Linked DNA regions of Drosophila melanogaster. The protein of the gene in region 2 interacts with the protein of the main gene of each other region in a pairwise test. Each region holds a gene or a part of one and is shown on either strand. Other genes may lie near its edges. The genes, in order: CG7309, CG13407, Nup50 and Membrin.

The links.
Region 1: the proteins of CG13407 (region 2) and CG7309 interact in a two-hybrid assay, tested with the Drosophila melanogaster proteins (one large-scale study listed by BioGRID).
Region 3: the proteins of CG13407 (region 2) and Nup50 interact in a two-hybrid assay, tested with the Drosophila melanogaster proteins (one large-scale study listed by BioGRID).
Region 4: the proteins of CG13407 (region 2) and Membrin interact in a two-hybrid assay, tested with the Drosophila melanogaster proteins (one large-scale study listed by BioGRID).

Annotation. Positions count from the first base shown.
Region 1 is NT_033779.5:10,903,533-10,911,661, forward strand, and holds CG7309 (uncharacterized protein), read right to left. Parts: upstream 5,362-8,129; 5' UTR 5,281-5,361; coding exon 5,273-5,280; intron 5,210-5,272; coding exon 5,068-5,209; intron 5,016-5,067; coding exon 4,750-5,015; intron 4,698-4,749; coding exon 4,583-4,697; intron 4,531-4,582; coding exon 4,481-4,530; intron 4,419-4,480; coding exon 4,296-4,418; intron 4,231-4,295; coding exon 3,549-4,230; intron 3,432-3,548; coding exon 3,315-3,431; intron 3,247-3,314; coding exon 3,163-3,246; 3' UTR 2,738-3,162; downstream 1-2,737. Other genes in the region: CG14069 (uncharacterized protein), read right to left, coding at 6,698-7,003.
Region 2 is NT_033777.3:22,100,309-22,108,166, forward strand, and holds CG13407 (uncharacterized protein), read left to right. Parts: upstream 1-3,105; coding exon 3,106-3,194; intron 3,195-3,761; coding exon 3,762-3,947; intron 3,948-4,222; coding exon 4,223-5,282; downstream 5,283-7,858.
Region 3 is NT_033778.4:8,119,517-8,127,349, reverse strand, and holds Nup50 (nucleoporin 50kD), read right to left. Parts: upstream 4,315-7,833; 5' UTR 4,213-4,314; coding exon 3,987-4,212; intron 3,931-3,986; coding exon 2,801-3,930; intron 2,741-2,800; coding exon 2,402-2,740; 3' UTR 2,292-2,401; downstream 1-2,291. Other genes in the region: coil (coilin), read left to right, coding at 151-285, 341-426, 481-1,817, 1,877-2,083, 2,141-2,280; Asap (ArfGAP with SH3 domain, ankyrin repeat and PH domain), read left to right, coding at 4,965-5,093, 7,730-7,802.
Region 4 is NT_037436.4:5,362,882-5,369,425, reverse strand, and holds Membrin (membrin), read right to left. Parts: upstream 2,972-6,544; 5' UTR 2,828-2,971; coding exon 2,691-2,827; intron 2,622-2,690; coding exon 2,108-2,621; 3' UTR 2,045-2,107; downstream 1-2,044. Other genes in the region: Pfdn4 (prefoldin 4), read left to right, coding at 1,482-1,526, 1,652-2,023; Uev1A (Ubiquitin-conjugating enzyme variant 1A), read left to right, coding at 3,270-3,297, 4,341-4,483, 5,217-5,342, 5,411-5,551. UniProt on the Drosophila melanogaster protein: Involved in transport of proteins from the cis/medial-Golgi to the trans-Golgi network.

The DNA.
Region 1 (8,129 bases), on a different chromosome or scaffold from region 2:
ATTCACAAACTTTTAGCTGGAAAATATTTGTAATAATATACCGCAGTTATGCTACAGCAATTTTTATTTATTACTAAGAATATAAATAAGCACGAAATATGATTTAAAAATTTATGCTTCCGCTTCAACCGAATTTATGGTATCATTTTTTGAAAGTCCTAAGGTGCGCAATCTTCGCATCACTCTTTTGCACTTTTTCACTTTGTATAGATATTCTGGAAAAGAGCATTTGAGATGCTCGTCTTGTGGTGTTTGCTTAAACATTTTGCTCGGCAATCAAATCAGCTATGGGACCTTGGGGCGTGAGGAGACTGAAGGATGGTGGCGAGCAGAAAAGGGGGCGTGGCTGTCGAAGGAAGCGACGAAGATACAGTTCGTTGATTTTGTTACAAATAATTTAAATCTATGTCAACATTTGGAACGCATCGCGATAATAATTCATTTTTGCCTTTTGCCGCAGCTTCGTGACAGCTAATCACTAGAGAGAGACGGCGATAGACAGACAGACAGACAGAGGGAGAGAGTGAGAGATATATAGGGAGCGACTGACAGGCGGAAAGGCAAATAAAAATGGACAGTGACAGCCATTTTGAAAAATGGCGTCATGGCTGCCCGATTTCCGCCGGCAAATGAATTTTCCCATTTGACGTCGTCGACGTTGTTTTGTGTGCTAATTTAACGTCTTTTTTTTCACTCGCCGGTTAAATTAACAACAACATGATACCAATAGGTCGCTCATTATGACTGGTCTAAAATGAGGGCTTTATCGCGAGGCGCATAAATTAAATAAAATTCACCATCATGATTATCGATTGTGTGCACATGCGCGACGCCATCAATGGTAATTGTTTATTTGTTTTTCGATAAAATCATTTTAATTTCATTAGTTTCCGCTTTATTGTCTGTTTTGCCATCCGAATTCCCCATCAAGTTGTGCGCATACATTTGTCCGAGTTTCAAAAATATCGCTTTATCTGTGACAAATGTCAGACAAGCGATTTATCCTTAACTGTTCAATTGTCATGCATATTGCTATGAATTCAATTAGTAATGAACATCATGCAGTTTTGTTGAGCCTTTCGATAAAATTGTAATACTGATTGCTCGCATTTTTATAAGTACCTGCAAATCTGTTACCTATGGAGTAACAACATAATTGGTGTAAAAATATATTGTAAAAATTAATATTTCGATGCCTTTTCCATTCAGTGTACCTCCAATTTTAGCGTCTTTATTATCTTAACAACCGTATATATCAGCTCCAGACAACTTTTTCAACGTCTGAAAGGACAATGGCCGACTTGAGCTTCCTGTTTGGAAGTTATCGTGAAACCTTCGGGGTCTGTCCATAAAGCAAACAATGCAACCCAAGAAGACCCAAATGACGGCAAGAAAATCTATTATACTTGGGAGTGCATGCGCATATAAAAGGAGTACACTCTGAAAGTTATAATGAATGGAAATAATGGCGCCGCAGGTGAATAATCCGACACCATGTTTGTTTCTTGGGCGCTGGGATGTTGGGATGTACATTTTTTTTCATCCTTTCCAATCTGTCTGTTTTATATCCGAATTTGCATTGTACCTTTTTGTTTTAAGACAATGGTTAAAATGTCCTCTGGCTTTTAGTTTTTGTTTTCCTCGATTGCTGTCAGCAAAATCAGTCACAGACGCGATTGCAACTGACAGCGCAGCAGGAATATTATTCGTAGAAAACATTTCAATTACAAAATTGAGCATTATCTCAAATTTAAACATGTATTTTTGGAAATACATGTATTTTGTTGTATATTTGTTTTTTCAATTTCACCGCGAATCTTGGGCAGATGTCAAGAAGGATAATGAGCCTAGATTTGGGAATAAGGAAATGCCAGTGAGCTCGGAATTTGCCAGCGTGGAAAATCAGCTTAAGGCGTGCATGATATTTGAATATATATGCATAATTTGTGCGTCTCCCTTTTTGGGGCTTCCAATGACTTTAAGATGGAAATTCCTCATCTGACTAAGAAGTAGAAAAGCCCATGGGATTTTCAAGACAAATTGAAAGGCATGACAATAAGACCTGAAAAAGTGTCACAGGCCGAAGAAGGCTCTCCCATTTTATGATTTCATTGAATTTTCAATAAAAATTAGTTACAGCTTATGGGATATTATCGAAATATACACACGCAATTGAATTTATAAATGCTTATATTTTATTTACATACTTTTTCCACAATTTACAAGTACTTGCAACATCTGCGGCCGTTAACCTTGACAAAATCAATTAAATGCGCAATTTTGGATTGTCGTGAGTGTTATGAATATTCACGAACTCTGCGCCACTGTATTAATATTTAAATAGTTTGAATATAAATGCCTCCCAAAGCTGCTGACGCCGAAACCTGCAGCCGCTAATGTATTTTGGCTGGAGAGGATTCACGCGACACCAAACCGGCAAGTATCCAGCCGGAAAGAGTTTGCTAGAGGGATGTAGATGTACATGCGTATGTAGATGCGCCTGGTCCTCGTCTAAATTAACAAATAAATTATTCAGTGCCAACACTTGTGTGGGCAATGTTTGGACTACAGCGATGTGAATTAGGTGCGAATGACCAGGCGGGGATTACCCTAAATGCGAAACTGTGTAATTTGCTTAAAAGCGTTGGTCCTCGGACAACACTTTAATGCCATGTTTGTACTGGCCACTCTTCACTGTGATGCTGCAGTTTCTGAAAAAAAATAGGAAAAAGTTGATCCAAATTTAAGTTGCTTTAATTGGCAATGGCTACGTTTTGAAACATGTACATCACAATTTGAAATGAATTTCAAAAAATTTTGGCTCAGAAACTTTATCCAGTTCTTTTTTGTTGGTTTGTTTGCTGTTTGATCCTTTCTTTCGTCCTTATATTTTTCTAAAAGTTACTGCCACAGCAGCAGCATTTTGTTTTGCCATCACCTGTCCGTGGAGCTGAATTTTCGTGGACCAGCTGTTGCCGAGCCATCCCAATCTCGTCCAAATCCAGTTCCATCTCCGATTTTGTATGCTAAACGTGTCAACAAGATTGCTCTACACACCGCATTGCAGTGGTGTTTACTTGGTAATTTTATCAAATGCGGTTGAGAGAAATCGAAACGGAAATTTGGATGGCTGAACTGAAATGAAGTTGAAATTAGTTGAATTCAGAGCACCATGGTGCGGAACAAGATGGTGAATCCAGCGATTGTGCAGAACATGAAAAGCGTCAGGATACTTCCGCCCAGCAGCTGAAAAATCCGTTAAGATACACATATCTATACATATATATATATATATATCAATTCGTATTACTTACAAATTGAAAAGGTCTGACATTGCCCCAGCCGGCGACAATTGTGTTGGCCGGGCTGCTCACGGGCAGCAAAAACTGATTGTGCAACGCGGTGGCAAATGGCAGTGAAAAGGAATTACCCTAAAATTACACAAAAATATTAGTGAAAGGAATCTTATTGACTTAATATGATATGGCTTAGTCCGACCATCCTATCCATTCATATTCATTAATATGAATATACAAATTTTGACTCACCGCGGTTACCATGGTGGGCAATGCCAACTTGGCCACGGTGGTGGCCGGCGACAGCGTGGTCCAAAGTGTTCCAAGCAAGGCGCCGCAGATGAAGCTCTTCATATTGAATCCCTTGTTATCGGAGTTCATCGAATCCGCCAAGTAGGTGTTCAATCCACAAACAGCGGAACTATAGCTAAAGCTGAAGGCGGCGCCCAGCATAAAGATTTCCGCCCAGGGAGTATTGTTGTTGACCGCCTTCCAGCCCAGAAGTGAATTGGCAGGACCCTCCTTCTCCGGCTGGCGGCAAACATAGTATCTGCAGAATATATAGTTGGCCGGAATTGCGAAGAAGAGAATGGACATGCCAATGCCGGCCACTGAGAGACCAGATTCCGCCTTATAGTTTATACTATCCCAGCCCGTAAAGATGCGCGGCTTGCGAGTGGCCACCAGCAGGAACATCAATAGAATCAAGCTCAAGGCCAAGATGGGATATATTCCCCAGGGACCAAGAGCCTGTTTTCTTTCAGACGCGGTCTGTTTAAAGCCCGCCTTAGCCCCAGCCATTTCCGCCAGATCGCGCTTCACACTGCCTCCAAGGAGACCGAGGAAGAGGACTTGCAACCAGAAGATCATGACAACGAGACCCATTAGAGCTGGTCCCGCCATTAGCATGCCAATTTCCAGAACTGTAAGAGACCTGGAAAAGTAGTTTGCAACTTCAACTTTCGTACCTTTTCGAACAGCAATTAAAACCATAATCACCCCCCAAAACCATCGCTTATCACACCATTGGGATTGACGATGGGCGAAAGACTTGCTGCCAAAGAGGCTGCGTAGCAACAGGTTAGGTATATTCCGATTACAGGACGCGTGGGATATGGTTTGCTAGGAGGCGGATTATAAAATTAATTGGATTTGTGGAAGGTACTGTACTGTCAAGGACTCACGATCCAATTTCATAGGGCTTCTCTTCAGAGTTTAATTTTATCAAACCACCCTGTAAAAAGTATGTAAAATAAGTTAAGATTCAGATGTTGGTGATTTCTTACATTATCGTATTCCACCATCACGGCTTGGGACACCTTCATCCAAAAAGCAGCGGATATTGTGGGATTCACCAAAATGGACACAATGGCCGCGGCGATGGTCAAGAAAATCTGAAGACTACAGAACGATATTCTAAAGTAATGTACAACTCAGCCATTTAAGGACATACAATTTCAAACTTCCACCGACCAAGGAGATGACAATAAAAGCCAAGCGGTCACTCAATTTCGAACTGTCCATCATGATGCCCATGAATATAGCGGAATAAACGAAAAATATGAGATCAGTGTAGTACGACACACTGATCTCTTTAGAGCTCGCAATGCCTGCAACGGGTATGAAAACCATATAGATGAAGGCGGCAGCTCCTCTGGCCATTAAATTTAGGATATAAATCAAGTAAAGACATAGTGTTAGATAGATGAAGCGGCAAATCTACAGGAAATAAGTTAATTAAATGCCTTTCAAAAGCCTTGCCATCTCTTACCAGTACTGGAGTTCCAATTAAAATGGGTGCCAGCAAAATAGGTATGAACAAAAGTAGAACTCCTTTGTAGTGGTACTTGCAAAATAATCTGCGATCATCTTGCTCCTCCAGGGGAATATCCCCGGGCTTGTAATCTTGAGTACTTGTTTAAGGATCATAATATATAATATATTAATAAATAGTTCGATTCTGTTGTTATACTCACGCTGCCATTTTGTACGACTAAAATAGTTTGCTCGGATGTTCAATTTTGTTACAGCGTGTTGCCTTAATGACTCACATGGAAATGGTTGCTATGCACAATGGTTTCAATACTGAAGTTTACTGAACCAAATTTGTTTTCCGGTTTGTAAATATATATATATATATTTACCTATCATAGCGTTAAATTATTTTAAGTTTCGGAAAATATTTAACCTAATAGTTGGAGTTTTTATTGCAAAAGTTTTTTTTTCCTAACTGCCAAGTTAACTCACGTAGTGGGTCAAGGGTTTTTCGCTGGCCAAAAACTGCATCGCGAACAGCGACAGGGGAATTTGGCCAATAAAAACTTTGGTCGGCCAAACTGAGTCTGCCGAGTCTGACTGAGATGCACTGCATTGTGGGTCGAATCCCGAATCCGGATGGTGATTCCGATTCTGATGACGATGGCGATGGCAACTTTGTGGGAACACGTGGCGCGTAACAACGCGCGGTCGTCGGCAATTTTGCGTAACTATTCGCCGTTCTGCTTCGTTAGTGGCTGAGCAGAAGAATGAGTCCTTTCGCAATGGAAACTGTTTAAAGTTGCCAAAATAGAACAAGCAAGCATGTCACTGCAGATAGTGCTAAATTAAATGTTGCACAATTGTTCACCTGTGTCAGCAAACTGGCCATGATGCGTTCCAAAAAATGATAGTTATACATACTAAGTATCAAATTACTTATCGTTTTAGGAAGTTTGTATCAAAAATAAGTTGGTTTGGAATTTTAAAACTATATTTACTATGAAAATCTTTGTAATATGAAATGAGTTACCAACTGCTCAACTATTTATACTATCTGGCATACTTTTCAGACTTTTTCATTACCCATCTCAGCACCAGGATTTAACTTGATTCTAAAAACTTTCAGCAAGTATTAAATTCACTCATCGTTCGACGAAACTACTCATAATTTGCTGTCTAAAGGGGCGCCAAGTTGCCGTTGCCGGTTTTGTCCGATTGACACTCGGTATTTTGGTGTTTTAGTGGCGATGGCAACCAGGCGGACAAGCAAAGGATGAAATCCATGAACTAACTGGCAACAAAAAAGGGCAATGCCAAAGCGGAAGTTGATTGACTCCTTTGGACACTTTTTCCATACGGAAGGTTGATAAACAAAAATGGCCGACAACTTTCCTTCAGCTTCATCCGGCTACCATTGTTGTCATTTGCCTGAGGCGCTGGGGCGAGCCAACATGACGTATACATAACATAACGAACCAATCCTTGATTAGGGTTAACACGAATCTATGATGGATGCTTGGGTTTTATGGCACGGCGAACTCGAGATCAACTCAAAAATCACGGCTATACATATGTTGCCTGCCATTGTGTTCTTTATTTCAGTTAGCTACAAGGTTTTGGGATATTTCGAATCACCTTAAAGTCTAGGCCAACTTGCGACATCGTCCTGCCAGGAGACCCCATCCGGCCCAGCAACGCTTTTGAATCTCGAGTAGCATTTCACCTGTCACGCCGAGCTGGTTGCTCAGAATGGTGGCACATCCAGTGTTTTGGAGCGGTATTCGCAGCTTCTGTTGCTGAAGCGAACGACAATAGGCCAACTTGTCCGGCTGCTCCTGAAGCTCCAGTGCTATTTGAGCCGACCAGTTGGCTATTTGAGGGTCCAGCTGCATCAGGATCAGTGGGATGAACATTAACAATCCGATGGCAATTGTGGTCGCTGTGTTCATGGCGACAAATAGCAGGCAACTGAGCTAATAAGCGCCATCTAAGCTACTAGCTGTTCATTTAAGTTCCAACAGCTGTTCTTGATTTGCATTGAAACTTTAAAAGCAGCTGAAAAATAACCAATAGAAATCATTGCCTGCCATTTGCATTCTTATCGAGCAATTGAAAATTGCACCTCAATATGTAAAATTATTTTATTGGGTCGTTTGAATCTTGACAGATTTTTAATATAATGCATTAATTTGTTGAATAAGTAATTTATGTGTAGCGACAGTTTTAACAATTCATTTTTTATATAACACCAAGCTACGTACACTACTTACCAACAATCTATCTACTTATTTAAGCAAATATAAAAAATCGAATGTGTATTTATACAATAATGTAAAATAGTTGCAAAATATATGTTCAAAATGAAGCACTTTTCTGTAGTTAGCTCTTATGTTCTTTTTATGATTATTACAGTCCGTTTAATTTGTAGCTTAGTGTTAAAGCTGCTTTTAAAAATTATTTCTTTCATTACCATTTTTTTAGGCAGGCTCAATTTTAATCAATATTTTTTCGCAGGACTGCAAAGTGAAATAGCCTTTAATATACGATTCGCCATTTCCCCATTTTAACGCTTTATTTTCGCCCAAAGTTTTCGTTTGTTTTTAGACCTTTCAATTGCTTGTTAGCGGTTTTTTCTTTGTTCGGCCCTTTCATTATCGGCACCTCTGTTTTTTTTCCGAACGTCGTCATTCTTCTGGTTGAAATTGCATTTGGCGAAATGAATGCCCGGTCCTCGTCCTTTTGGCCACTTTGGCCCCGGTGCAGCATCGACCTCGAATGATGCATGCAATCGAGTGTAAATTTCTCCGTTTTATTATTTAATAACGTCGCTGAGGAAGTAACTTTTCTGCTATCTATATGATGGTTACTGTCATATTTACGCGCCCATTTCCCATTTTTTATCCATACCCTGCCAGGCTATATAAACGAATTGTCTGCGTGAATGTAAGTGCAAATTGGACAACTGAAATGACACACCTACCCGCCTTTCACAGGTAGCACACACACAAAAAAAACAAATAAAATGTGTATAATATGGGCAATATTTCTTTTTGGTACTCTTAAATTTTTGAGTAA
Region 2 (7,858 bases):
TTTCAGGAGTGTTTGCTTAGATTATTTCATTAAATTGACCAGAGCAGGACAAAGCCTGGCTGGCCTTTGTCCAGGACAATGCCGAGAGCGCGGACAAACAAAAGTGTTGGCGGAAAAGCAAAAAGTTTGGCCAGACTCCCAGGACTCCTGCCATAAACGCCAAGGACTTTGCCCAGCCGAAGGGGGTGGAACGTGCACTTAATTAAAGATAAGAATTAACTGCTGATTAGTAGTTCTTCTTTACACTTGACACTGCGCTGGCGGTAGTCCTTCTGATACTGCCACTACTCCAGCTCCACTACCAGCAGCTCCTAGTCCAAGTCAAAGTCCAGGCACGTAGCATCCGCTCCTTCGTCTTGGCTTTAGCTGCCTAACGAGGTTTTATTTTTGTTTCCCATTTGCCCCATCGCCGAAAAAGTTTACTTAGGGTTTTCAAGGACCTAATGTAGCCAAATGATTTATGCACTTTGCCCCAGACACAAAGTGGGTGGGGTTGGCGCACATGCACTGGCCGCATTTGTGATAATTGATGTGGCCATGTCGAGGCCTCCTTTTGAGACCCTCGCTTCAAATACTTTGACTTTGCAGCCAAGAATGTCATGCAAATGCCTTACTTCTTCATCCTAATTGACTGGAATTAACCCAGCAAAATATACCTATATCCAACTAGCTCTATTTCCTTTGCCAACTGATGCAAAGATAGTTCTTTATAAGAGATCTCATCTGAAATCGAATATACGTAACACAACATTTTATTCATTACTCCATTTCCCGAAGTTCAATTATGTTTGGCTTAAAAGTGTATGAACAGTAGCGACTCTGATTCACCTGCAGCTCTTGTGTATAATTTAATGCTTCTACGTGTTAATCACGGCAATTAATGTATGCCTTCGCTGTTGTCCAACATCCCACAAACTCGGCCCGCCCTCTCAATTGTCCTTACGAGCACATCCTTCAGTGCGGAACAGATACAGATACAGAAACAGCCATCGCTGGCAGACACAGACACGAACCGAGCTGGAGATACAGATGCAGACCCATAAATATCTGGCACGTTCAACAACTCAAAGGGAAAAACTTTCGTTGGCACTTGGCTTAAATGCCTCATTTTCCAGTCATTAAATTTCGCTGGGCGCTCTTGCTGACCAATTTCGGTGGCCATAAAATCTTATAAAAATGTTGGTGGCAAATGTTCGGCTACTAGTTAACTACAATATGTCCGAGTCAACTTGTTATTGACTCTCTGTCTCGGTCCTGGGAGGGCTTTGAAATATGTTGACAATGGCGCCAGCAACAAAAGCTAAATATAAATACCCAATCCACAAAAAAAAAAAAAAAAAAAACAGCCCCCCATTTATGTTCTCAAATTTTCAACCCCGCAAGGCAATTGACTTTTCGATATGCTTCCCTTTTTTTTGGAAGAATCAGCAAAAGTCCTCTAGTTTCTTTTCCATAGTTTTTTGCCCAACATTTCCTGTGGGCCAAATTTTTGGGGGTTGGGGCAGCGCGACAAATCAAAGCGTTACAAAGCTGGAAAATGTGTGGAAAAGTTGCAGTGCAATTTATTATATGCTTTTGATTCTGCAAATCTAGCTGATGTTGTTCTTTCTTTTTTGTTTTGCTCCACGTTGTCGCTAGCACTGCGGAAATGTTAAATATTTGTTATTGCAGTCTAATGTTTCCGCTTTACGAAAGACAACAGACAGGGATTTTTCGAGACTGTGCTATGTTTGTGATCGAAGAGTTGTATACTTCTTGTTTAAAAGTAGTATATATATTACAATTAAATATAGTTAGAAAAAGTTAGTGGAAGATCAGAGCACTTGTAGTGTGTGATAACTGATATAAGCAGCACTAATATACCCCATAAAATTCAATTCAATATAAAAATCTTTTCTGGCAATGAAAACTATTAGCCCCAGTCATAAATCTTTAAGACCAAAGGCGTGGATGTGGAGAAGTGGAAGTGGACCCCAACCAAAAGCCGGGTTCGACTAACCGCACAAGGGACCACAAGAACCGAGCTCCATTTGGCTGCACAGACGACAGTGGCAAAGTCTGGGCCAGACATGGCACAATTATGACAATTTCTGATGCATAACGCTGCATCCATAGAGCTTTTAATGCAATAAACAAGCGACTGGAGCGTCATTAACACTGACAGGAATCGGTAAGGGTAGGGAGTAGGAGGAGTGTAGGGGGGGGGGGGTTGATGCCAAGGAGCATTCCCGGCCTTTTGTCGCTCACTAATTGTCTGGCCTGGCCGAAATGTGCAGCGCATGCATGCAACGCAACGCTCCAATTCAGGTGTGTGTCAGTTGGCCGTTGTCGCCACAAAACACTTTGCCGGCAATTGTCAGCTGGCTTTTGGGTACGTGTTACGAACAGTGATGGGAAATGGAAATACTTTCTCCACGGAGTACAAAATTAAATTAAGATACTAAAGATTACCTTTCCTGAAATTCAATAAAGAAGCAATATAGCAAAGTGGATAAAGTAAGGAGCTCTCGTTTAGAATCTATAACTTCTTCTTTTAATAAGTGAGTTACTATGTTTTTTGTAATTTTTGTACTTGTACCTAGTTTAAGTATTGGTACAAATGCTTTGCTCGAGCCGTACCTGCCAACACTGCCATTGAGTAGTTGTTTTAAGGCCGTTGCAGTTGCAAGTTGCTAGTTGTAGCCAAACTCACTTAGCAGCTGACAATGACAGTCGCCTGCCTCTCTTCTTTCCCGCATCACCAGCAACACCACTATCAGCACCACCACGATTACCACCCACTTCAAGTTCACCTGCGTTAATAGCCGCCTGCCAGGCAAGTGTCTGGGAAAGGCTTTGCCCAGTTGCCTAAACGACATTGTCACTTGCGGTTGGTTGGGCGCATCATCTCCTGCTGCTTCAGCCCCAAACTCCAGTTCGTCGTGCTCGTCCTGTTAGTCCTGATCGTCCTGTTTGCGGCTTCTGCAGTCGAGTTGCCATCGGTTTATGGCAGGTTGAGCACCAGCGACAATGAGCCACGCTGGTGCACCGTGTAGTGATAAACATGCGCGCTTTTCGGCACAAATCAATTAGCAATTGAATTTGGTGAACTCAAAGACGGTGAAAATGTCCGACGGCCAAATGACAAATCAACTCAACGTGCAACAGCAGGAACAACATCCGCTGCTTTCAGCCATCTCAGGAAATAATTATGCGTAAGCCATGGTCAAAGGCATTGGGATGTCGACTGTATTTGCCATACAGCCAAATCAAATTAAATTTGATATAATTAAGAAGTGGCACACTCACTCAGTTCCCTAGAATTATATTGTTAATCTGAACTCGCTTAAGTGCTTTTTATATATTTATCAAGAAGTCCTGCTAAACAACATCGTAAATAATGAATTAATTCTTTTTCAGTCATTGATATATGCAAAACTTAAACGCTTTAACAAACTTCTTTCTTCTATCCTACGTAATATTAATAATCGCTTAAAGGAGCCTTGAAAGAGTTTAGTCAGTTGCAACAGGATAAAGTGTGCTCTTTGGCTTAAAGATTAAGTGCTGGAGTGCCGGAGGCAACTGCAATCGCAAACGACCCCTGGCCCAAAAGACAGCCACTGCGGGCGCGGACTGATACCTCAGGCACTTAGCCGGGCTAATGTGGGACACAAACAGAAGCGGCGTCTCGGCCACACAACCACATGCCCAACCCCCCCCCCCCCCCACTCACTCATCCGCTTGCCCGCTTTCACCACTCACCTTCTAACCTTCTCTTGCAGTCAAACGCAGCGTGTGCATTACTATCCCAACCACTACTACCCGAGCCACTACTTGCCGGGCCATTACCACCAAGGACACCAAGGATACCAGGGGCAGCAGGGACGACCACCGCTCCTGGCGGCCGCCAGCAGCCACAACGGTGCTTATGCGGCCACGGCGGCTGGCAGCGGACACTCCGGCTACGGGTAAGCAAAGAACCACCGCTGCACTGAGAGAAAAGCAATGGGATGAACAAGAAAATTCATTCCAAATATACAAAGAAATTAAACTGTTATGAAAAAATATAAATAACTATTTGAAGATGAATATATACTTAATAATATTGATACTAATGAATACTAAAGTTTCGAACTTATCAACCTAAATTACCTATTTCTTCCTGTGCACTGGCCATCAAAGTCAAACCATAACCCCAATTCCAGTGCAAGTTCCGCATCTAATGCCAGTTTGAATTTTGCAGCGGCATAGAGCCATCCGTGGAGTACGAGCTGCAGCATGACCCACCCTCGGGTAGCTTCTCCTCCTTTCATCCCAGTAGTGCGGGCAGTGGGCCCGCATATCCATCTGCCCACCATCCGCCGGCTGGTCCACCACCGGCTCCTCCGCCCACCAAATCGTCAAAGAAATCGAAGAAGAGCAGCGGTTCGGTGATGAACGCACTAACGCTGCTCTCGTTCTTCTTCTTTGTTAACATGCTGCAGAACTGCCTGAAGGATCATATGGCTGACATGAATCCCACCGTGATGGTGCTCACAGCCAGCGGCACTCGCAATCGTTTCAACAAATTAGCCGAGATGAATTCACGCGAACAGACCTCGACAACGGCCACCGAATCGGTAACGGCATCGGCAGCGGCATCATCTTGGAATCATCAGGCTGCTTTAGTTCCGGCCGTCGAGCCAAGTGTGCCGCCCTCCATTGTTACGCCCACGGTGGTGCTGCAATCGCCCTACAGCCGTCACACGGAGATGGCCAATAAGCCGCCCCAACGCCAGCCAATGGAGTACCAGTCGAACCCTCAGCAAAATCATCACGATTATCGGCCCCACAACGCGAATGATGATGCTTATAATTACGGGCAGCGCCGACCTCCGCCTCAGACCTTCTCCACCTCCGATGGCGGCGATTTCTATCCTAATCGCACACACATCGACCACTCGTCCCGGCCCGACTTTGAATCGGAGTCGGGCTCCGATTACTATCAGCACCACTATAACCCGTATGCTGGCACAAACTCCCATCGGCATCCTTGGTCTTATGGCAGGCAGCGTTACTCATCCGCACCGTGGTCTTCAGCTTCGTTGGGCGCTCAGTCGGGCGTGAGCTCTTACTTGGATAATGCCCAGCGACGGCAAGGTGATGATGACGATGGTCATGGTTATGGCTATGGCTATGGCCACAGGGATAGGGATCGGGATAGGGATAGGGATACGGATGCAGATGGTTTCTGGGATGAGGACGAGAATGGTCAGCAGCGGCGACGCAGCGATGCTTTCTATACTCGCACACGCATTAATTGAATGCAAGAATTCCGCGCACATTTCTATGTTGCATGGCGGGGATTTGCTGCATTAACCCATTGCACAAAAATGGGGTGGCATAATGTGGATGGGCAAAAAAAGATGTGAATGGATTTTTTTTTAGAACAGCTAAAGCAGCGTTTATAGCTTATGGCATTTTACATTCTGTAAATATTATCCACGCTCTTTCGTTGTAGCTTAAAAATACCACATTTAACTTACTTGTATTATTGATTTTCATATAAAGTTATAATACGATATAAGAATTATTTTACATTACCTTTAAAAGTTGTATATCATAATGCACGACCGAGGGTTAAAAATGCTTAGCTTACATGTATTTATAATTAAAAGCAAACAACGTGCATAAGAGCTGACAAAAAATGAATGGAAAAAGGCGATGAGGCGGTGAGGCAGACAGACACACCCGGCAAGTTGGAATCGTAATGAAAATAAATGCTAATTTGTTGCACAACAAATTAAAAGTGCCCCCAGATTTTGCCTGGCGCTTGGCTAAGACTTTATTTTATTGCCTGCCACAGCAACTAAGTTGCAATTTTCCGGACTCACACACCCGTTTGTCTAATACAAATCTGTTGCATTGCTACCTAGCTAGCAGTTTACTTATTTAGTGGGATTTCGTTCTTGGCTCCACAATAATCACGGCCAATGAGCGGCAAAAGCAAACTCGTGTCTGTTGGATGGTGGCACTGGGGTAGCTTTAATTAACACATTTAGCGCAATTTAAAATGCATTTTGCCATTTGGCGCGCGTGCACTACAAACAATGCTATCAATTTCAACAACTTTGATTAAACGTCATTTGCAGTTTGCCATTGCATGTGGTGATGCCTCCGACGGATGCACTTTTTTCCCACCACCGTTGGCAATGGGAAAGGGTTGAAGTTGATTCTGGCAATTGGCATTGTCAGCGCTTTGGCTGCGTCGCTCCTCTTTTGCTTCATTTGCAATTAAATGCACGCAGTAGCAGATGCAGATGCAGTTGCAGTAGTAGCAGCAGTAGCAGTAGCAGCAGCAGCAGTTGCAGTTGCATTTCGGCCTCAGCTTCGGTCGGCACTCAAAAGCGTAATTTAAAATTCTCTTGGCTACCATTTTTCGAGGCCCTTTCTTCGCTTTGTGTCGGTGATATGGCTGGTTGGAGTGGAGGCTGCCAGTTTTGCACGCATCGCGACTGCCTGACTGACTGGCTCACGGCACGGTCCCCGGCACACGGTGCGTATGAGTTATGCAGCGACTGCATGGAGCAGCAGGAGCAGGAGCAGCAGCACCGCCACCACCCCACGGCCAAATGAAGTTAATATAAATTTTGCTTTACAACGGCGATGGGCGAACGTGTGCGACTCTGGCCGTTTATACGTATATATGTATATAGCGACTCTGGGCCTCCCATTTATTTAAATAAATTTATGACTTTAAGTGCAAAGTGGCAGCTAATGCGTGATTTTCGGAGCCAACACGAGCACGTAACTGGCGTAAGTGCTGCTCAATGGAACTCTAGTAGAGCCCAAAACTGGTTGCCAGCTAGTAGAATCGAAACAGTTCATGATCATCAAGGGTTTATGAATGTATCTATAGTGGGATACTGCTCAAGAGGCTAGGTAATACTTATATTATATATTCTAACTAAGCATTCGTTGGCATAATTACTTTAAGACCACCATTCCCAATGTTTTTCCCAAAGTAGTAAAGACAAGTTTGTGCTTAAATGGAATGAAATTAATAAGCTAGAACATTTCGTTACTTGGTGAAATCTCTAAGATCCCTGATAAGCAGTCAATCCACATTAATCCTACTGCTGTCAGAGCTTCATGATTTTATTACTGCCGCAACTACCCAGCTGAGATCATAAAAGTGAAAATTCTCATTACCCAGCAGAGGTCCAGAGGATGATGAAAGCGATTTCGGCTGGTTACTGGCTTTTGGACGCCTGCACATGACATATTATCCACAATTAAACATGCAATAAATTTACCTTAAACACGCATAAATTTATAATGTAAGGGACAGGGTTTTTTTTTTATGCCATCGTTCGTACTCTTTTTTGTCAATATTTTTTTGCCGTTTGTAGTTCATTAAAAAATAATTAAAAATTGTAATCGACGCAATTTTGTGCCTGCCTTTGCACAATTATTTATGCTCACAAAAAGCACACAATGAAAGGGCATTAATTTGCACTCGTGTCAACTATAAGTGTGCGGTAGATAAATTAAAAGTAAACAAGTGAATAAATTTTGTAAAAATTATTAAAGTTCCCACGAGCAGAAGATAGCCGTTCCCAGTGAGATATTTAAGATTTTCCTGCCTTACGCATGAGCCAAAGTTGCTGGAATCCTTTTGGCAGAGCTGTCTGGGCAGAAAAAAAATAAATAAAGGGGGCGGGGGAAGCTATCCCAAAGATCTCAGTGGTATTTTGCTACAGTTTTATATGGCAAACAATTACGGTAAGTAATTTATTTCTGCTCAACTGAATTAGAAATCTCTTAGCACTAAGCCAGTTTCCTGAGGGCTGTTACACCCTAACAACCCCTTACCATCGAACATCCTCACGGCTTTCCC
Region 3 (7,833 bases), on a different chromosome or scaffold from region 2:
AATAAGCTTTATTTTTATAAATCGCTACAAAAAATATGACATTAATTTGACAGAAATTTAAACACATCGATTTAACGATAACGAAATCGAACATACTTCCATCTCTAGCACATTTAAAATCATTTTAATCATAAGAAAACTAAGTCAAAAATGCAACACTCCAGCATGAAGGTGGATCTATCAAACTTTTTCAAGGACGAACGACGAAATTCGTTGGTTTTCATCGATGCAGCATGGAACAACATCAAGGACCTCCAGGACCACATACAAAACCTCTTCAGCTTGGCAAGATTTTTAAGAATCTCTAACTGCTAATTCTAAATAAATTGCATTCAAACAGAAGGACATTAGTCTGCTCACCTCAGATGGATGCTATCTGCCCCCGAGGGAGTCTATCAAAGTGTTGAACTCTGCCGAAGGACTCAAGTAGGTGAGCTTATTTCTTTTTACGATCTACTTGAGCATATTCATCCCTTGCAGAGCCTTTCGGTTTGCCAGCCACGATAGTGATACCTTTGTGAGCCCTGCTCCTGTAAAATCCAGTAAAAAGCGCAAGAATCGATCCGTCGAGGAACAGGTTCACCTAACCGCCTCCACTCCCCTCCGACCTTCAAAGCGCTCCAAGAACCAGAACAACTCAGAATGGATAAATATTGCAGAAAACCCATCTCGTGTGAGAAAGAAGGAGTTGCTAGATATGGCTCCTGGACCTTCTGTACAATCAAAGCTCTTGACAAACAAAGGCACTCCAAAGGCCCCTGAAACTCAGACAGAAGTTTCTAACATGTCAGCGAACATCGAGACAGAGAACAAGGAATCTGCTCCTCAGATTAAAAATAAATCCAAAAACAAGAAACCGACCAAATCGCCCGAGGCATCTGACCAGGTAGAGAATGAACCTGCTCCTAAGAGTATTTCTCGATGCACGCTCAAGGAGGGTAAAATGTCAGAAAGCAAGAATCAAGAGACATCGCCTGACATTCTATCAGAAAAATCTGGTGTGGTAACGAAGGAAAACGAAACTCGAGAGGAGCAACAGGACAAAACACACTTGGAGTCCAACAAAATTCCGGATAAACTATCTCAACTGAAAGCAGGGGACCAAATTGAGAAGAGTCCTGGCATTGCTGCTAGCCTCCTATCGATTTCGTTCCGCTCCCCTCTCTTGGAGATGCCCTTTAATGTTCCGCGCATATTTCAATTTCCCACTAAAAAACAACAAATTGAAATTCTGGAATATAAAAAACTTAAGCCCATCAGTCCTCGTTTTTTGCTGCAGAAAGGAGCTAAGAGTGATGATACGGCTAAACAATTCCCAAGCAATGGGAAGGATTCAACCTTAAAGCCTAAATCCTACGAAATTTTGCACGACGAAGAATTACCAGATGTAAAGGATAAAAAAAATGTTTCAGAAGGTATAAAGAGAGCAGTTGCACCTCTTTGCGAAGACATCATTGAAACATCAACCACTCTTCCGGGGGCCATAGGAGCAGTTGAATCCGCTTATCTGGACAATTCGACTGAAGCTGAGACCACTCTTCCGTCCGAAGCTGAAGCAACTAATCCACTTGAACTTACTGAGTCATTTCTACAGAACAACACATCTATGGAAAAAACACCCAAAGTCGAAAAAATTTTGCCAGATGACGGAAGTGCATCTCCGATTAAAAATAACGTTGATTCGAAGGATGTTAAAACGGTAACAGTGCCCATTTTTGAGGAACAACTAGTATCCGATTCCGACGACGATGTGATGTTGGTAGACGACTCCAATATCGACGTTTCATACGGCGACTCTGATATTGAACCGATTCCAGGTGAGATACGAGGCATTTAAATGGTAGATGTATGCTTATGAGTGCCCTTGACATCTTAGTAGTAGAAAATAGGCAATCTTTGGATATTATAAGGGACCTACTGCGGACTGCAACTCCACTCAATAGCCTGCCGTCCAGGGGCGATACGGTTATATTTAAACTGCTGAAGATTAAGGGAAACGCCAATTCTGGCACAACCGAATTTGTCGCCGGGAGGTGCACTTACGTTAACCGGCGCACCAAAATTGTCACAGTGGAAACAATAAGTAAGCGACTATCAATTTAAATTGTATACCCGAAACTGATCTCGTTAAAATTTTTAGCTTATCCCCCCGAAATCGGTCGCATGTTGCGTCAATATTATATGAGTGGGTTGGACGAGTCTTCTGAGGATGTGCGAACTTTAAGTATTCATCTCAAAGATATGCTTGAAGCCAAAATCATTGTAGCCACAATTGACTGATTATCATTTTTGTGTGTACATTCTTGAGTTCTATTTCCAGGGTTTCGTACATTTATAGCTTTTAAAATACAAACGATTAAACAACATCTATATGTACGAATTCATGTTAGTTGTCTATCCTCTACTTGATGTGCTCCTTGATCTTCTCCAGCAAGTCGTCGGCTTCGTCACCGGTCTTTACGCGTAGCAACAGCGATGTGGCCTTGGAGTCCTCTGGCGTGGGCACGCAGACCATCAGCACATTGTTCTTGCCCATGCGCTGGCAAGGTATACCCTTGCTAAGAATAAGGTTGACCAAGATGTTGCCCAGATTGGTGTCGGCGCGGACTAACAGTTGGATCTTTTCGGAGTCCTTGACAGGTTTCAAGTACAACGTGCCCACGCCACGATCGCCAAAGTCCTTGTCTTTCTTAATGAACACCTTACACCGCTTGGAGTATATAGCGTCATCCTCCACAACCTGTTTGGAGTAGAAGTTATATTATCTTTCCCTTCGAAAAGAAAATTCTTTTATCATCACCTGTTTAAACTCGACTTTTGGGGGCGTATCCTCTTCTTTTTCCTCCTCCGCAGGCGCTGCCGCTGCAGCTGGCGGATGAATGTTTCCGAGAGAGAAGGGCGTGGCACTGTTGGTGAAGGAAAAGCCCTTTGCGCCGTCTCCTGCTCCTCCAGGCGCTTTTCCGAAACCCGCAAACAACGAGGTGCTTGGCTTGTCGTCGTTGTTACTTTTCAGTCCGAAGGAAAAGCCATTGGTCTTCGGTGCCGAGAAGTTAGGCTCATCCTTTTTAGTGGTCGTATCCTTTGCTCCAAAGCTAAAAATGCTGGACTTAGGGGTATCATCGGATTTGGCTTCTCCAGTGGGTTTTGCTGTCAAACTGAAGATACTGGAGGAGGACGGCACTGGCGCAGTGAACGATGCCGTACTGCCGAAGGAGACCAGTGGTGTTGCGGTCGTGGTGGTTGTTCCACCACTGGTTATGGTGCAGTTGGGTTTCTTGGCTAAGGGCGATACGCTGGCGCCTATTGGCGCGCTGGGCTTGCCAAACGTAAACGTAGTAGCCGCTTTTGGTGGCGACGATGCACGGGACACCTTTGCAACTGGTTCTTGAGAACGAGCTTGTGCCGTTTTGGATTTCGTGGAGTTCGTTCTGGCGCTCTCCTCGTCTTGCAGATCCTTTAGATGCTCATCATAGTTCTTAAACACTGGAGTCAGTATGCAGTAGGGACTTTTGCCCATTTGGTCCTGCAGGAATTTTATGACGGACCGATTTAGGTCAGCAACGCTTTCACGGTACTCGGAGGTCTCCATGGTGGATGTGAGGCTAGTGCTGCTGCTGCTGGTTTTGGCCTCGCTACTCTCCTTCTTGGCAGCTGATATGTTGCCAAATATCGAGGTGGTCGGCTTGGCGCCATCGACGGTACTTGTTGATTCCTTGGCCGGCAAAGGAGAGGGGGCCGTGCTGCTGGTGCTGGCGGTGCCGCAAATGCTAGTGCTGACAGGCCGATCGGCCGAACTGGAACTGGAGCTGAACCCGAACGAGAATGCAGACTTTTTTGGCTCGCTGCTAGAGGTCGTGGCTGGTGCCGTCACATTGGCCAGGAAGGAGAAAGGCGAACCCGCGGCTGGGCTCGCAGCCGGCTTGCCGAAACCTAAAAGCAATCGGAGTGAGCAAGTCCCTCAGGTCTGCATGGATTTGATAGCTTACCGGAAAAGCCACTGAACACACTTTTGGGCTCTGCAGTCTTTTCTTCGGCGCCATCCTCTTCAGCGGCGGACGATCCACCGGCAATCTTGCGGCGCGCCTTCTTGATAACGCGTGTCTTTAGCTCCTCTTCGGTGGCCGTGCGGAATGTGCCGCGCTCCTCGGGTTCCTCCTCCAGGTCCCAGTTTTCGTGGTTCAGGTTCGAAGTGGCTTGTCGCTTGCCAGCCATCTTGTTCTACTCTGTATTAAAACTCAAAGCAAATGCCAGTGAAAAAGAAAAAAAAAACCGAATAAAATCCACACCGCGTTGCTGGCGGTCGATAAATGTTATCGCTACCTCAGTTGGGCGACGTAACTGTGAGTCAGCGAAACAGGCCTGCTGCTTTCGATAGCATATCGATAGGGTAACAACAGCGAGACGCCAGCAGCACAAAATCGCAATAAAACAAAAGTATTAAATCACGCCTAAAGTTAGGACGACCATGTCCAGTGCCGCGAGTCCCAGTCACAGTAGCAGTACCAGTCCGAGTGTGTTTCTGATCCTACCATGATTGCCGCGATTCCGGGTACTGCGCACTTCCCTCGCCCAGAGACAAAGTTAATTGTGCATCTCGAGTAGTACGAGCAGTACCAAAAACGCAGAAAACCGAAAAGCGAAAAGCAAAAAGCCAAATTGCATGAGGATGATGAGAACGCCAGTGTGTGGATATATGGATATAGTGCCAGGGAAAGTGCGACGAGCAACAACACAAATCGGGAGTGAACAAAGACGCAGAGACACGTACAGTGCTTAAAGGCGTTATCCTGGTAGTTTCTCAGCTATTTGCCGTCCCGCTCCCACTCCCATTTTGCTCCCGTTCCACGGCCTTGGGCGTGAGCTGGTGTGCGTGCGACTCGCGTGTGTGTGTGTGTGAGTGAGTGTGCGTGTGAGTAAAAGATACGCTGTATATACCAGGACATCGGGATATCCTGAGCAGCAAAATGCCGCCATCCCTGATTGCCGTGTCCGAGTTTGTGGAGGAGACGCGCTCCGATTACAGCTCGCCCACCACCTCCACCTTCGCCTCGAGGATGCCCGACTGCCGCCACACGATTGGCGTCTTGGAAGAGGTAAGTGTGTTGACCAGGCAATTCCTAAGCCATGTTCCTTATGTAGAGGCAGGTAGTCCAAAAAGCCAACAATCTGTGTACCTACAGCCCAAGCAATCCCTAGTTTAAGGTGGGCTATCCTGGTGGGTTTACAGGTGTGTTCTGGGAATCCCAGTCTATATAGTTTTATATTTGAGCTAAACATATAAACAGTCTAGGGGTCACTGAATTTAAAGGCATTTGAACCGCTGAAAAATTGGGTTTACTGTTCAAAAACTAATATCTTCGTAGGCTACGGAGAGTGAGGAATGTGTTATCGTCATTACTTGTTTATTTCAATGATTAAAATTCCGATCCATCTGCGGATAATCTGTAATAATAATCGGTTTTGCAAAACAAAGTTCCTAATTTAATGGAATCTGATCGATGTCGGTGAAAGTGAAAACAGGAGCACGGCTATGTGACCACGCGATACTGCAGCTAACATGGCAGGCGACGCCCCCTGCCAAACGGTGATGATTACTATTTTCCGGGGGGCTGCAGCGGACAGATTTGTAAATTGGCGCGGCGCCAAAATGAGCCACCGCCTGTTATTTTAGTGCGGTCTCTCTCTCCCGGCTCGCGCTCTCTCTCTGTCTGCCCGCAAGGTGGTTTTTCCTCGATTCCACGATTCCACAAAAATAGTACAATGGAAATACAAAGTGCATTCCGGAACGTGCAAGAGCAGATGGAGCTAGGGGCGCAGGGAACTGGGGGCTGGGCACCGAAGTGGGAGTGGCTGCCACATAAGCATGCTGTAATTTCTATATTTACTCAAGGCAGCTGTGATGTCGCCTCCACTTTCATATGTATGTAAGTGCACGGATATAAATCGCCCGCTGATAAAGCTAAGCACACAAAGAGTATTTTACGGCCGGAAAAAGGCGTGTGATAAGAGCAGCGAATCCGAGAACCGCGGCTATTCCCGTACGGGAACACTCAGTCAGCTGGGGATATCGTCCACAGAAAACACAGAACGCCTAAGTGGAAAAGTCATCCATGTTGTCATCCAAAAGACCCTTGAGTGGGCCGGTTGTGCAATATACACATATTGCTCCAATTCCCCAGGCTAATGCAGCGCCCGCCCGGCGAAACAAAATTAGACGATTTATTGGTCGGTCACGTCATGCCCAGTTTTTCCCGGAACTCTGGGCCGCCTTCTTGGACGCCACGTCAAACATTTAATATTTAATTTTGCTGATGGATTTTTGGTGTAGCCCAAGCAGCCCAGTGACCTCCATTCCCCGCCAGTTAAATGAATTTTATTTCTCTTTTTTTTTTAGCCAGTCTCTCCCATTGCGTGTTTATTATATTTGGAGCAGCTGTAAAACTGACTGTCTAAAATGAAATTTAATTTTGTGCGTCCAAGAGTTTCTCTCTGTGCCATTCATTTGGCCGCTCCACAACAAAGTGCTGCTGTTTTAGCCATCTTCTGGGGCTTTGACTTATTATAAATTAGCATCTTTTGTTATCAAAACAGCTAACTGGCCGCGCAACTCGTCCAAAGAGCAAAACAAGTTGACGAATATCGTTAGCTGGTTTTTGTTTTCGGTCTAGGCGTGTTGTTTGCATTCCCAGTAATTTGCTCAACAACATGACTAATCTTCTACAGCCGATGGCGGATTGCTAGGGGTTCATTTGTCCCCAGATGTTTGCCACTCAGCGACTATCGCGTAGTATAGAATTGCAATCGCAAATAGTCAGGTTTCCCGGAGTTCGGTCTTGGCCGATTCGCTTGTTACTTTTTTTTCCATCTGCAGTATTTATTGGGCAGTTGTTGTCTGGTAGCTCATATATCAGTTTCAGCAGGAATGTAAGCGATCTTTGCCGATTCCCATATGATTCGCAGTTGTGTCAGGATCCCTGCGCCCCTCCTTGGCGGCTAATTCAATTCTGAACACAGCATTTTGAATTGGAGGCAATTGGGGAGAGTCATCGGGTCAATGGGGGAACGAACTCTTTCCTTCTCGACTTCGGAAATGTACTGAAATCATTGTTTATGCGGTTCCGGTTTCGGATTATAAAAAACTTTGCCGCATAAAACATTTATGCTGGAAAATGGGGGGTGTGTTTCGGTAGGGAAATTGCCTCGAATCTTTTTCACTTGCTGTCTTAATTGGTGCATGCGACTGCATTTAAAATGGTGCTGGTTCGGTTATTAAGTTTAATAATAGAAGTGACCTTGTCGTACATTTTCAATTAGCTGGTGCCATAAAATATGATGGGAGTATCGAAGGGGTGGGGTTGGTCAACCGACCGACAGGCGAACTGAATACCTAATGCCAATGTTGACGCGATTTCAATCTGAAAATATTGTTCATTCGGCGCCCGTCCACGGCGTTTCCTCTATTGTGTCTTCCCATCTTTGGCTAAGTTTGGGAATGCATTGTGGTTGCTCATCTAAAGCACAGAAGGTGCAGGTCGTTTATTGAAACGCTAAATACAATTGTTCGGACTTAGAAATTTGAAGAATTCCCTCTATCAAAGCCTCTCAATTATGCAAAACCTTGTCGCTATCTCTTGTCTTATAGAACTTCCTTAAACAACCCTTAAACAACTTTTATGTATTCCCTTTGACACCATGCCCAATTGATCACTGCAATAACTATCTCTTTCAGAGATTGGAGTTCGACCGGGAGGGTCTAACTAAGCTGAAAAAAGCGGTCAAGGCTATCCACAACTCAGGAAACAGTGAGTACATCCTCTGAGATATGATACCATT
Region 4 (6,544 bases), on a different chromosome or scaffold from region 2:
GCAACGAATATAATATACCCTTTTACTTTGCGATAAAAGGGTATAATAAATTGCAGCAACTTCGTTCGAAATGTTTGCTTAAAGGAAATCTCAAGGATAATCTGATTGCGATGCTAAAGCAATAAGCTGATGAAGTTTTCCATACACAAGTTCGTTACCTAGGATAAAACTCAAAGGACAACTTGTTGCAGCAAACATCGTTTTTGCATGGCGCAATTGCAATTGATGCGATGCAAATGCAATAAATTAGACATCAATTTGCAGCAAAAATGTCCATATTATATATATTATTATAGATCTCCCCCCCCCCTTTTGTTGCAATTATTTGCCTAAAACCGAAATTATTTCAATTTGTGAACTGACAATGTCCATACGGACTTTCGGCGGAAAAGCGAAAGGATAAGCGGAGTCATCGTCAGGATATTAACACTATCACTTCCTGCACTTTCCCACTACCTCGATGGCTAATCTCGAGTTTGTGTCTAATTGCATTTGCATATTTTGATAATATTCGAAAAGGGGAAATGAAAGTGGCAAATGCATTCGCCATTCGAAATACTCAGTTTAATGCGGATTCAAAGGGAATGGAAAATAAGGGTGGAGGCGGGTGTTAGTGAAATTTAATTGCATCGTGCGAAGAAATCCCGTTTAATTACGGCGATTAACTGTAATAATTTATTAGTTTTTGCTTAATTTGTGACATGTGCAAACAATTAGTGATTCAATCGCATGGCCAAAAAGGAAGCAATAATAACTTTGACTAATTAGCTGTGTGCGGTAGGCTTAATTCGTGGCGAAAATAATATGGCTGAATCACAGAAACAATTAATACGCTTTTTTTATTCGTTCGTTAAGTTTTGTAGTGCCACATACTAAAGAGTAGGAAAAAAAAACGTTGATAAGTAATTACTCTCATTGAATTTGCATTATTTGTTAATACTTTACTAATTTAAAAAAAAATTAAAGGAAGTTAGATTTTACCTATTTATAAAATAGTTCGATTTAAATGTAAGCATAGGACATATAATTTTAGCAAATTTTTTTTGTTTTTAAAAAGTAACTGCACTTGAAAATGTTTTTACACAGGATATGTACATTTTAAATGTACTCCACTGTAAGATTACACAAAATCATTTTTTTTACACGTTACTTACACTGTTAAGTGACAAAATTAAAGGTAGCAAATATCTAAATTATTAACCCTACTTATTAAATATTTTATATATTTTATATTCAACATAGTCATAAAAAATTAAACATAACTATTTAAATAAATATAAGTGCTGAAGATATAACAATAAATTGCTAAAGCGGAATCACTTCTGTAAAATAGCCTAACGCCTCGTTCTCTCTGTTAACTGCTCTCCGTTTGTCAACACTAAAATGTTAAACAAATAAAATTTTTTGCGAAGCACCGAAAACAGCAACTGTTTGTAAAATATCATAAATTATTTATTAAATTAATTAAAACCAACGGGAAAATGGCAGCAAAAGTAGCGAGCGGCACGAACAAAGTGTTCCAGAACGTGAGTATGGGTGAATCATCAAAGGACAGCTGACTAAGATGAAAAGTAACCTCACTTTGTCATGGTTTTTTCTGTGCATCTGCTCAATTGAAATTTATGATATATATTTTAAATCGCATTTTCAGCACGATGACGTGCACATCTCCTTCGAGGATCAGCAGCGGATCAACCGCTTTGCGAAGCACAACGCCCGCATGGATGACTTCAAAGCGGAGCTGGAAACGAAGCGCAATGAGCTGAAGAGCTTGGAGGAGGCGCTGGAGGAGATTGAGCTGTTCGACGAGGACGAGGACATACCGTTCCTGGTTGGCGAGGTGTTCCTCTCGCACAAGCTGGAGAAAACACAGGACATGCTGAAGGAGACCAAGGAGCAGGTGCTCAAGGAGATCGCCGGCGTGGAGGCCAAGGCGAAGGTTATCAAGGCGGAAATGGACGAGCTGAAGGCTCATCTGTACCAGCGGTTCGGCAGCAATATCTCACTGGAGGCCGAGGATTAATCCACAATTGATCAATTGTTAATTTAACATTTTACAAAATAGAGTACATTTAATTTAAACTCAACTAAACGCGATGTCTTCAGATTAGAGCACTAGGAAATAGATGATCAGGGCGATGATAAGCAAGGTGACCACCACTCCTCCGATGAATATCCGACGATCCTCGACCAGCCGGCGTTCAATAAGTTTCATCGTGTGATTGGACAGACCCAGTGTGCTGCCTATCGCCTGGATTCTCTTGTGCGCTCCGCCCAGCGTCATTCTCTGCGAGATCAGGCTCTCGAGAATGCCGCTGCCCGAGGCAATCATGTCGTCCACACCCCGATGGGCGTTACCCAGCTGCGTATGATGCTGCAGTTCGTAGTCCAATTGCAGGCGCGTTTCCTCCGGCTGCGCGCTGTTTGCCGTGAATCTGTGATTCAGCAGCTGTTCCCTCTCGGAGATCTCCTGCATCCGTCGCTGTCTTCGTTCCCGCGCCGTCTGCAGTGATGTCTGCAGGTGTCTCAGGTCATATTTCAGCTGATCCACACGAAGTTTGGAGCTTTGTCGCTGCGAAGGTGGCACCTTATACAACAGCACATCCAACCGATCGCAGTTTCTAAACACAAAAGATTTATTTAATAATACAAACTCCTCTTGGGATAATATATATCATTGTAGAACTCACGCGTTCGCCTGGGTAATCTTCAATTGAATGCCGTTTTCCACGTCAAGCGATTCCTGGGCACTGAGCTGACTCAGTCGCTGGAAATCGCGCTCGATGTCCTTTACCACATTGTTGGTTTGGTGGTACAAGCTCTCCATGTCGTTACACCTATTGATTCCGCATTAATTTATGGGCCCGAGAATATTCGCAAATTAATATTTAATCGGTTGCAATTGGTTTGTTTTTAAAAAAGCTGACGCGTTAACATTGGACAGAGTGTCATGTTAGTTAACAGCACTGATAGCAGAGCAGCTGGCTGCCGTTTTTGGTATGACCATATATTATGACAAACTTATCAGCTAATGCAACTATTAAATTTCCTTTTTATTTTCAGAGAATATGCTATATATTGTTAAATAATGATTTTTAATTAGTGACCAAATATTGCACTTGACGGCGCTGTTAAGTGTTACCACTGTTAACGGTGTAAAAATCAGAGTTGTTAAGCAAGCCAAGCAAAACCTAAACCGCACTGGTCACATCGCACTGGAAACGCGTTAGCACACTTTTACGGTATTTTAGCACTTAGCATTAACCACAATGGCGAATACATCAAGTACCGGCGTTGGTAAGAAATAAAATTGATAAATTAGCAATTTGGCAGCTTAAAAATGCGATCCCCGCACGCCCGGAGTTGTTGGCCATCCGTTTTCTGCATTTCCCGCTGACCGGCGGCGATTTTTCCGCCGCTACGGACCCGACAAGCGGACCGCAATGTGATTGTGTGTGTGGTGCAAAACGGGCAAAAAGAAGACGAAAGCAAGGGCGAAAGACGAAAGCCGATAAAAGCGAAATGGGCGAATGGAAATTTATTTTCGCCAGCGGACCACGCTGCTCTTGCAATTTTCCTTGGCCGCGTTTGGCGTTGGAAAAACTCCGTTGCAATTGGGCTTCGTGACTTGACATTTTCCGAAATATCATCCCCGCTCCTTCCTCACTATGTGGCTCTCGCTCGCTCGCTCGCGCACGCTCTTCTTCTTGCCTTCATACTTAAAGTTTTTTCTTTATTTTCCTTATTTTTTGCACACTTGCGTTTTTGCAAGCTGCCTTGTCTTTTCTAATTAAATTAGCTGCCATTTACATTTGCCTGGATTGTTTTTGCAAATGCAGAAATTATGCTTTCGCCCCGCCCCCGCCGACACACCCTCCCCCCGCGCCCATCGTGCTTAATATCTGCGCTTCGCATTTTTTTTTTTTGACTTGTGTTCTCTGCACGAAAATGCGTACAAAGTCACACGGCCGAAAACAAAAACAACACGAGAAGCAGAGCGCAAAACAACAACAACACGTACCCATATGACCCCACACTGAGAGGAAAAGTCGCCGAAATATCACCGAAAATGGTTTATACCATAGAAAATGTGTAGAACAGTCCTTACTAGTTTGTTTCTAAATAGATAAAACTGTCGTTTATAATTATATATATGTATCTTATCTGTACGAGCCCGTGATTATAATTATTTAGAAAGCTAAGTACTTTCTTGCCCCGCCAACCAGAAAATTAAAAACAAGCTGACATTTAACTTAATGACTATATTTAAAGATTTAAGTTTTTCAGTGAAAATGCATTATGTCATCGAGTTCTCACCTCTTTGCCGTTTCACATTGCAGTGGTGCCACGGAATTTCCGCTTACTGGAGGAGCTGGATCAGGGCCAGAAGGGCGTGGGCGATGGCACCATATCGTGGGGCCTGGAGAACGACGACGACATGACGCTCACCTACTGGATCGGCATGATCATCGGTCCGCCTAGAGTAAGTTTCCATATCGATTGGACTTTCCTCGCTACGTCACCAGATAAGCCCGGTTTATTAGGCAATTCTGTAGGATTATTGACATCTTATCGCTTAGATTGCGCAGACCATTCAGTTTGGATAGCACCTTGTATCTTTGAAGGCAGTTTATCTCTTCAGTGCGATGGAATTTGATAATATTTGCATTTCATTAGCACCGCTGATGCAACTCATTGTGAGTGTGGGTTTCAAAAGTCATTGGCTTCATTAGCTTCTTATGTGGTAAATATGAATATAAAATGTACCTCTGCTAGATTTTAATCTTATATGAAAACTACAAGCTGCAATCTGGGATTATTGCTAGAAAATATAGGTATAGAAACGCTCGTGCTAATTTATTCTTATTTTATTCACAAGAAAATATTCCACTTTACATGCATTTATTGGGGAAAACAAGGCTCTAGCCTTGAATTACTAGCAAGGAAAGCGGCGGAAAACTAAATTTGCATTTAATTTTTGTATAGTCTAGAAGTGTTGCGCGCGCCGCCGCATGAATCATTGAGGAGTTTGGGTGGCAGGGTCTTCTAACAGAGCCCCAACTTGGTTTAGTTGCATTGGCAACTAAAGTGGAGAAGCGGTGGACTAAGGGGAATGGGAGCGCCTGACTCATCGACACTCTGGCCGCAAGTGCACAGAGTATTGAATCATTCAAGAATCATTTAAAGCTAATGGCAAACTCTTGTGTTTATTACAGACACCATTCGAGAATCGAATGTATTCACTAAAGATCGAGTGCGGCGAACGCTATCCGGATGAGCCACCAACGCTCCGGTTTATAACTAAAGTAAACATTAACTGCATTAATCAGAACAATGGCGTGGTAAGTGCAAGCAATCGAATGTGGCATATAAACAACGACGAATGCTAATATATTTGAATTTGCAACAGGTTGATCATAGATCAGTTCAGATGTTGGCCAGATGGAGTCGCGAGTACAATATAAAAACGATGCTGCAGGAAATCCGTAGGATTATGACCATGAAAGAGAACCTGAAGCTGGCACAGCCGCCAGAAGGTAGCTGTTTTTAGTCGACAACATCCGTTAGCAACACCAGCAGCAGCTGCAACAGCATCGAATGCAACGCGAGCGGGAGCAGCATCCACACCCAGTAAGAGCCGGAAAACGAACCACCATCATCAGTCCAAAAGTCCAAGACCAAGGTGGCCACACGTGCGTGGAATTAAAAAGAGATTGTGTGGCGGCTGCTCCGCCGAGTTGCCATCGGTGGCAGCGTATGCTTATTAATGAACGTAATAAAGATCGAGTGCGGTTATTGTGGCAAGAACAACAACCAAATGCAAGCTATATACTATAAGTAAAGGGAACAGCAGCGAAAAATGCGATAGGAGCGTCACTATGAAGAGGTCGTCGTCGTCCCTTCCGTCATGAACTATGTCATCGTGTTTGGTTACCTTACTCTTCTTACTACTTCAACTTCAGTCCCCAAACAAAACGAAACGAAAATATGAGAACTTCTTTTGAATAAGAAATAAAACAGCAGCAAAAGAAACAAGTTAAATGCCTGAATGTTTCAGATTCAAAACTTCAAATCGAAAATTCGTAAACTAATCGAACAGAAAAGTAATGCATAACAATGATAACGATTAATCAAGATCACAGCGTGAGATCCGAGCGTAATTATTGTTTTTTTTTGCCTAAACTAAAAATTTATTAATTATATACATAAAGCAAAATATATATTAATTTAAATAAAACCAACATGTCGAACACAATTTTTGTAGACGGCGCCAGTACGAACGTTTTTTTTTTTTGTTTATCATTGATGAAGCGATTTTGTAGTTGATTTTATATTCTATTCTTTCGAAAATCTTCCTCCCGAATCGCTTGGGACGAGGGACGCGATTTATAATCATTGAATTGTGGAAATTATAGATATATATATATATATATAGAAACACACACACACTAAGCCGATGAGCAAATCGAGCGGACAGAACGATGAACGATGATTAAAATAATACTTTAATTTAAGCTTCTAAATAAAACAATTAATCCAATAA